Arabidopsis thaliana: one gene and its partner. The protein of the gene in region 2 interacts with the protein of the main gene of each other region in a biochemical or structural test. Each region holds a gene or a part of one and is shown on either strand. Other genes may lie near its edges.

Region 1 (3,753 bases), on a different chromosome or scaffold from region 2:
AGTCTCAGCGATGCAATCAGAAAACTTGCTGTAGCCGACAGAACAGAAGACCTGCACAACATGATAACGATTTCACAACATTCTAAATAAAGACTGATTGGTTCTTTCCTATCGAGGATTCGTATTGAGAACAAAAGCTCACGCTGCAAGTTTGCCAATTAATGATTGCTTTGTTGATTGTTGGTTCAAAGTCAAAAATGGATATAGGCCAATGCAATATACCACCTGCAAAGCATTCCAGAGAATAATATAAGAAAAATCACATAGCACTGAAAGAAATTGTGATGGAGAAAGTACTACTCTTAGAGGAAGCCATCTATACCTTGTCCGAGAATTTCTTCAATAACTCAAGGGATATATAAGACCCAATAGAATGCCCAACCTACCAAGATCAATTAAGCTTAGAGTTGTAAATTTTCATGAAAATCTGGAAATCCATCCAACTAATGGACATATATATTTTGGTCATAAGAAGCAATATGTCAATGGCTTATACACATGACAGTCTTACCAATATTATTGGAACTTTCACACTCTCCAACTCCTGTCTGATAAAATCAATCTGTATGATAACTAACAGATTAAGATCTTAACTTCACAGGATGAACAATACAAGAACCTAAAGGCTTTCAAATCCAAGAGCAATGAAGAAAAATGATTTTTATTACCTTATGATCAATTTGTTCTTGAAATGAAAATAGCCTCCCAGACTCCCAGTCCTAAAAGTGAAAATAATCAAGTATCATGAAAGCCTATCAAACTAAGATATTATATGAAGAGAACCATCAAAGTTTACACACAGTAAAACCTGAAACCAAAGTTAACGTACCTTGCTCGTGTGAGATATTTGCCCAATAGCTACACAAATAAAACAAACCACTCCACCATTAGAGATCAGAAGAACAAACTCAAACTCAGAAATAAACAGCTTCCATCTTAAGGACTCAAAGAAATCAAACTCGAAAAGTAGAGCAGCCATACCAATTACAGAAGCATTTCCACCAAGAAACTCGTATAAAGATTCCAAAAAGTCCTTGTAAAATGACACAACTCCTGAAAAATTACAAGCCAATGTATGAAGCACACTAGTATATACACGTGCATGCATAAGAGTCTTGAGCATAATAATGAAACCTGGATTTCCCGGAATAAACAATACATGGAATGTGGGATTCTCAGCTTGAATTTCCATCATCTCCGTCATCGAACTTTGATCACAAATACAAAAAACAAAACAAAAAGTGTAACTATAGTCAAAGAAATTAGAAAATTTCGTAAAAGATTAATGTAACAATACCCAGAAACTCTGCACAATCTGGATTTAACATGTCTTTTAGTTTCATTCATCAATTTGTTTTGAGTCTCCATGTCTCCGGTCACGCGATTCAACTTATATCTTCTCTCAGAACTGTCAACACTTGAAAGGAGAAGATCGAGAGAATTAATGAGACAACAGAGAAACCACTAAAAATCAAAACTTTGCAAAATAAGTGAAGAAGCCTTTTAAAGTAAACCAAGTGAAGAGAGCACAACAATGCACCTGAAACAACAGGAGTAGATTAGATACTTTGGAGAACTGAACCACCGATCGGAGGAAGAAAGTAACGGAGAGACGGAGTTACCCAAGGTAGAAGAAGAAGACGCATATTTGCAGCAATAGTAATACGACCTCGTTTTGAGTAACGCGACGTCGTTTTATGAGTTTGGGTGTCGTCAGGCTTATCTCCACCTCATACTTCCACTACAAAGAGAGGTGATTGACAGATAGATAAGAGTGTTTGGTAGCTCAGACTCAGAGAGTCACAAAGTGTGTGTAGCAGCAATGGCGTCTGTTGCTTCTTCAACTACTCTCATCTCTTCTCCCTCTTCTAGGGTTTTTCCAGCAAAGTCTTCACTTTCCTCTCCATCTGTTTCTTTCCTTCGAACCCTTTCTTCTCCTTCCGCATCTGCTTCTCTCCGCTCCGGATTTGCTCGACGCTCTTCCCTCAGCTCCACTTCTCGTCGGAGCTTTGCTGTCAAAGCCCAGGCCGTAAGTTTATCTAAATGTCGATACTTTTCTTATTCGATGTCATTGAAATCTGAATTCATTAGCCTGTTATAGATTTCACTCTCTTCCTACTTGTTAGCCCTATAGGTTTTGGGGAAATAGTTAACGATTTATAGGTTATGCGACCGTGTTTCTGCAGATTACTCGAAAAGTTCAGAAATTTGAGTGACATTTTCGTTTAGGGTTGTTAATTTCTCTGGTGAAGTGAAATTGAGTGACATATGAGCTATACTCATTGACTGATTAGTATGTTCGGATGAGGTCTATGTAGTTTTGGTATAGTACCATGGTTATCTGATTGTCAATTTGACTGATCTTTCTCCTTAGATTTGATGTGTTAACGAGTTTTAATTTGGTGATTATAGGATGATCTTCCACTGGTTGGAAACAAGGCGCCTGATTTTGAGGCAGAGGCTGTGTTTGATCAAGAGTTCATCAAGGTACTTACAGCAGTTATCAATCACAGTTGCTGCTTCTAGTTAATCTGAGATTAAGTTTAGTTTTGAAGCTGAATGAGTAGTCTTTAGTGTTTTTTATTTAGTGAGTATATGTCTTATTGTGATTGGAAACTAATTGGTAACTGATGAATGTATGGTTTCAGGTTAAGCTCTCTGATTACATTGGAAAGAAGTATGTGATTCTCTTTTTCTACCCATTGGACTTTACTTTCGTCTGCCCAACAGGTTAGCATTGCTCGAGAAGTATATCAAAATTGAATATCCAAGGTTCCCTCATCCTTGAGTCCTAATCTTTCTCATTTTTTCCTTATGTCTTTTAGAGATTACTGCCTTCAGTGACCGGCATTCAGAATTTGAGAAGTTGAACACCGAAGTATTAGGTGTTTCTGTCGATAGTGTGGTAAGTATCACTATACATTTACTATGTTCTCATTTTACTCAGTTCCTCATCCTTGGTTGACATCACCATGTTCTTATCTGTTTGCAAATTTTTGATTCATTCTTATTTCTGTGTGTCCTCGTAGTTCTCTCACCTTGCATGGGTCCAAACAGACAGGAAATCTGGAGGGCTTGGTGATCTGAACTATCCCCTTATTTCAGATGTCACTAAATCAATCTCAAAGTCGTTCGGAGTGCTCATCCATGATCAGGTAATTGTTAGCCTTTAAATCTTGGCTACCTTCCTTTAAACTTTCGAAGTGTTTGGGATAAATGAAAACAAGAACTTTGTTTGTGTAAGAACAGGGAATAGCACTGAGAGGACTTTTCATAATCGACAAGGAAGGAGTGATCCAACATTCCACCATCAACAATCTTGGTATTGGCCGAAGCGTTGATGAGACAATGAGAACCCTCCAGGTAAAGATACAAATAAATACACACAACTCCAAAAACCGCTCTTTCCTTTCACTCGATTTCCGGTATGCTTAATACGTTTTCAATGTTGCAGGCATTACAGTACATCCAGGAAAACCCGGATGAAGTCTGCCCAGCAGGATGGAAGCCGGGTGAGAAGTCAATGAAACCCGACCCAAAACTCAGCAAAGAGTACTTCTCAGCTATTTAGAAACTCTACTATGATAGCAAAAAGGTACAATCTTTGTTATATGTGAGCAGAGTTTTTTTTCTTGTACGCTAAAACAATCCTTTGTTTGATTCTCACTTTGTCCCCAAAATTATAATAAAAAACTTTTTCCGTTAATGGAAGTCTTATTGTGTTACGCCTACAAATTCATATTCAGTTGATCA
Region 2 (3,753 bases):
AATGTTTTAATTAGCGGTTCACTATCTTTCGCCAGATCCGTCACTATTTCGCAAATTTCATGTCAAACAGAATTGATACAAGATCTTGAGCTTCCTTCACCAAATTGATTCTCTGAGTCCAAGTTGCAAAGCAATAAATAACGTCGTTGCAAGTTGCTCATTGCATGGCAAGTCTCAATTGATCGGAATGTCCTTCTTTAAATATGGTTCGGTTTGGCTCCAACTCGATCGTCAAACTCAAACTACATTAATATGACTCTTCATTTGTTTGTCTTTTAATTTATTTTTTTATCTACCAACCAATCCGGTCCAAGAGCCAAATAATTACTCTACCACAAGGTTCGATTTTTTCAAAATGTTCGACTAAATTGGCTTTTGTAAAAAGCTTATGGCCTACTAGGCTGCATAAACTCCGAAATCATAAAACGTGGATATTCATAAAGGGGTTCCACTTTATTCAACTTCTTAATTAGAAAAATCTTATAGAGACGGTCGAACCCTCTTATATAATTTAAAGGTTCTAGTGTTAGGCACTAGTTTGCTTAAGAAGATACTCATCTATCTCTTTGAAGTTCTTGACAGCAAAGTCCTTGATGACATGTGGATCATCGATCTCATGGGCGGTCTTCTCAAACTCACCAGACCATTTCAGAAGGCTACCACCATCCTTAGGGATAACGGTGATGGTTCCTTTGAAGGTTTTGTAGTACTCCAACATTTCTCCGCCAATGATGCTGTACGACATGCTTTTGTTCTCCAAATCCACTGCTTCGATCCTCTCCGCCGATATCTTCACCAGTGGAGATCCTATATTACGGTAAAGAGTAGAAACAATGAGCATTTTTTAAATAAAGATATGGTGAGAGAGTGAAATATAGTCAATGAAGACATAGATCATTTAGGGTTTATAATGAGTTATTGACCATTAAGTAACATGAATTATTTATTATTATCTTTAATACATACAAGTCTTCCTATCTAGAACCACACTTGTTTTTTTTTTTGAAAGATGTCTTCATGAATGTAGTACTCAATCTTGAATGCGACAAGATTTATGCTAATTACTTAATTAGCCATTTAGGTATTTATTCGAAACATGATTTATTAATTATGGTTACAAATTAAAGACAAAATGAGAAATGTACCTTCTCCATAAGTAATGAGGCGAATGGAGCCAGGAGCGTTGCCATCGCCGGCTAGAACTTGGATGGTTTTGTAGTCGTTAGGGAAAGCTTTGGGGAAGAGATTGATGCCGTCGCCAAGGGCTACCCAGAACTTTTCAGCCGGAGACTTAACCTCAACCTCCACATGAAGAACACCACTCAACCCCATTTGTTTCTAATTAAAAAAAAAACTCAATTATTTTGTATGTCTTTGAATGATTTGTTTGTATAACTTGTCAATGAACGTGTCTATATATAGAGAGGTTTTAAAGCCTTTAGTGATATGATAAATTGCATTAACTATGTGGAGCAACTCATCCAACTAATTTTTCATCCTATGGGTCCTTTTTAAAATTAACCTAAAGCTTATACATTTGCCATTCTTCATTGCTATCTCACCCACTCAAAGAGGTGGATGAATCAATAAATCGATGCATGGTATAACATTCAGTACAAAGAAATTAAAACTGGTTTTGTACTGCTTTAAAACAAAATTGTCGGTGATAAATGTTGAAAAACATATAGTATTGAGAGTCTATCGGCCAAAAAAAAAAAAAAAAAAAATCTAGATATTTTTCATATATTCATACACGTTATTTTTATGGCTACACTCATCTACATATATATTTTTCTTATTATGGATTTAAATTTTTAGGAAACAAAATTATTTCAACTTTTCATGATTATATCTACCCTTTTTAACACTTGATTAATTGGTTTCTCTTCTTTCAAGGTTTTTAGATCAAAGTTTCAATTGTTTGATTTATTTGAAAAACTATTTATCATAGAGAGTGTTTATGGCCTAGAGATAAACTAATCCCTTGTTCGTATTTCTTCAGATCGATTTTGTGAGATTACCATTTTTTCAGATCACTTACTTGGTTCTTTGTTGAACAATGGTAATGTCACACAATCGATCTGAAGAACCAAGTAAGTGAAGTAGCATATTTTACATAATTGGTTCTCATTTACGACCTCTCATAATAACTGTGGGCCAATATGTGAAACATGATGAGATTTAAATGGTTATAAATAATGTATTATCATTGATCAAAAATAAATCAGTAAACGTTCACGTCACACAATTAGTCAAACATAACAACTTAATAATTGCAAATTGCATTTCATAAGAATAAAACTTTCTAATCATAAAGAGCTGAATGTTTCCTCTTTATTTTCTACAATAATCTTCTTGGTGGCACTGGCATGGTTAGGTGCAATGCAATAAAGCCAAAACAATTTCTTCATCGTTAGGTACTTTGATTTCACCATTGTGCGAGAAAACAGCATGTTGGTTTCCATTGATATAAAACGACAACCACTCTTCAATCGTAAAATAAAAATGTTCTAAGAATGAGTCATCATTTCTATTCGAAGCAAAAGTTCATCCGAACCCAAATCCTTAATATACAATTGGATACGTTAAAGTTACAGTATCCTAGGATTTGTCAATCTTATTAAAAAAAACTAAGATTGCTTTAAGAAAATTATAGGTTTTCTCCACTTATAAAGTTTAACTTTTATAATCTCTCTCTCAACGAACTATGAAAACAACATTAGTAAATAGTAATATAGAAGTCTAGAGAAAAAAGTTGAGACGAAAAGGGTAAGGAAACACTCTGAAAGCAGCTTCCCATCTCTATTTGATCGACAGAGATACGTACGTACACAAACTGGTTAGAAGGAGATAGATTCAGACAAGAGAACCAAACCGAGAATTTGAGCTTAGAAAAGTTAAGGAAACATCAAGTCTTTACTTTCTCAAGATGGCTCTCAATTTCTTTTGCTTCACGTACATGTAATCTACGTATTCTTCAGCTCTACCGTCTCTTTCTCTCTCTCTTGAACTTTCGGTAGTTGAAATACTGCTGTTGAGTATTTCAGAAACCTAACCCTCAAAATCAATTAACTTTATTGCACTCTATATTTATCATCTTCAACCACAACAATCTTCTGTTTCTTTGGAAGCAACTAACTACAAAGAACATCTTCACGACTAGAAAGACACATACCCTTCTGTCTTAAGGACGAGACCAGAAGCTTCTTCTATCGGCTTTGTAATGGTCTACAAAGGATAAGAAAAAACCAAATCCAAACTAAAGCTATGCATTTTCCACTTGTTTCGGCTTGGAACAAGAGAAGGAGAAGCAAATCATATGATACGGATCCATGTACGTTCCTTTTCTCCATCATCTTCGCCAGATGGCATAAAAGTATGTTACTGTTTTTGTTTTTCGACATTACTACTACTGAATATAAAGGGTTTAGGTAAAACTGAATCACCATCTGTTTGAAACTAACCTTCTTCTCAGGGGTCTACAGAACAGCAGAATGCTGGCAAATCGAAGATCAGGCTTCTCAGCCAAGGAAGCGAAGATTCGGGTCATCAGTTTATACCCTCAAGGAGATGGAGGAGGCCACAAGTTCTTTCAGTGATGAGAATCTCCTCGGTAAAGGAGGCTTTGGCCGAGTTTACCAAGGCACTTTAAAAACAGGAGAGGTAGGAACTATATAGCTTCATTTATGTGATTTACAGGCTTTGTAATGTTACAAAAACTTTTCTATCGAAGAGGAGCTATTAGAGTAGGAT

What was found.
Region 1: the proteins of MLP423 (region 2) and AT3G11630 form a complex in vitro, tested with the Arabidopsis thaliana proteins (one large-scale study listed by BioGRID).

What each region holds. Positions count from the first base shown.
Region 1 is NC_003074.8:3,670,367-3,674,119, forward strand, and holds the start of AT3G11630 (Thioredoxin superfamily protein), read left to right. Parts: upstream 1-1,669; 5' UTR 1,670-1,822; coding exon 1,823-2,029; intron 2,030-2,412; coding exon 2,413-2,487; intron 2,488-2,648; coding exon 2,649-2,730; intron 2,731-2,825; coding exon 2,826-2,905; intron 2,906-3,029; coding exon 3,030-3,155; intron 3,156-3,249; coding exon 3,250-3,363; intron 3,364-3,454; coding exon 3,455-3,571; 3' UTR 3,572-3,753. Other genes in the region: AT3G11620 (alpha/beta-Hydrolases superfamily protein), read right to left, coding at 1-51, 143-225, 323-382, 512-562, 669-719, 830-858, 982-1,053, 1,135-1,208 and 1 more. UniProt on the Arabidopsis thaliana protein: Thiol-specific peroxidase that catalyzes the reduction of hydrogen peroxide and organic hydroperoxides to water and alcohols, respectively. Plays a role in cell protection against oxidative stress by detoxifying peroxides.
Region 2 is NC_003070.9:8,500,127-8,503,879, forward strand, and holds MLP423 (MLP-like protein 423), read right to left. Parts: upstream 1,940-3,753; 5' UTR 1,773-1,939; intron 1,417-1,772; exon of another isoform or gene 1,355-1,416; 5' UTR 1,333-1,354; coding exon 1,146-1,332; intron 808-1,145; coding exon 527-807; 3' UTR 274-526; downstream 1-273. Other genes in the region: AT1G24030 (Protein kinase superfamily protein), read left to right, coding at 3,268-3,376, 3,476-3,663.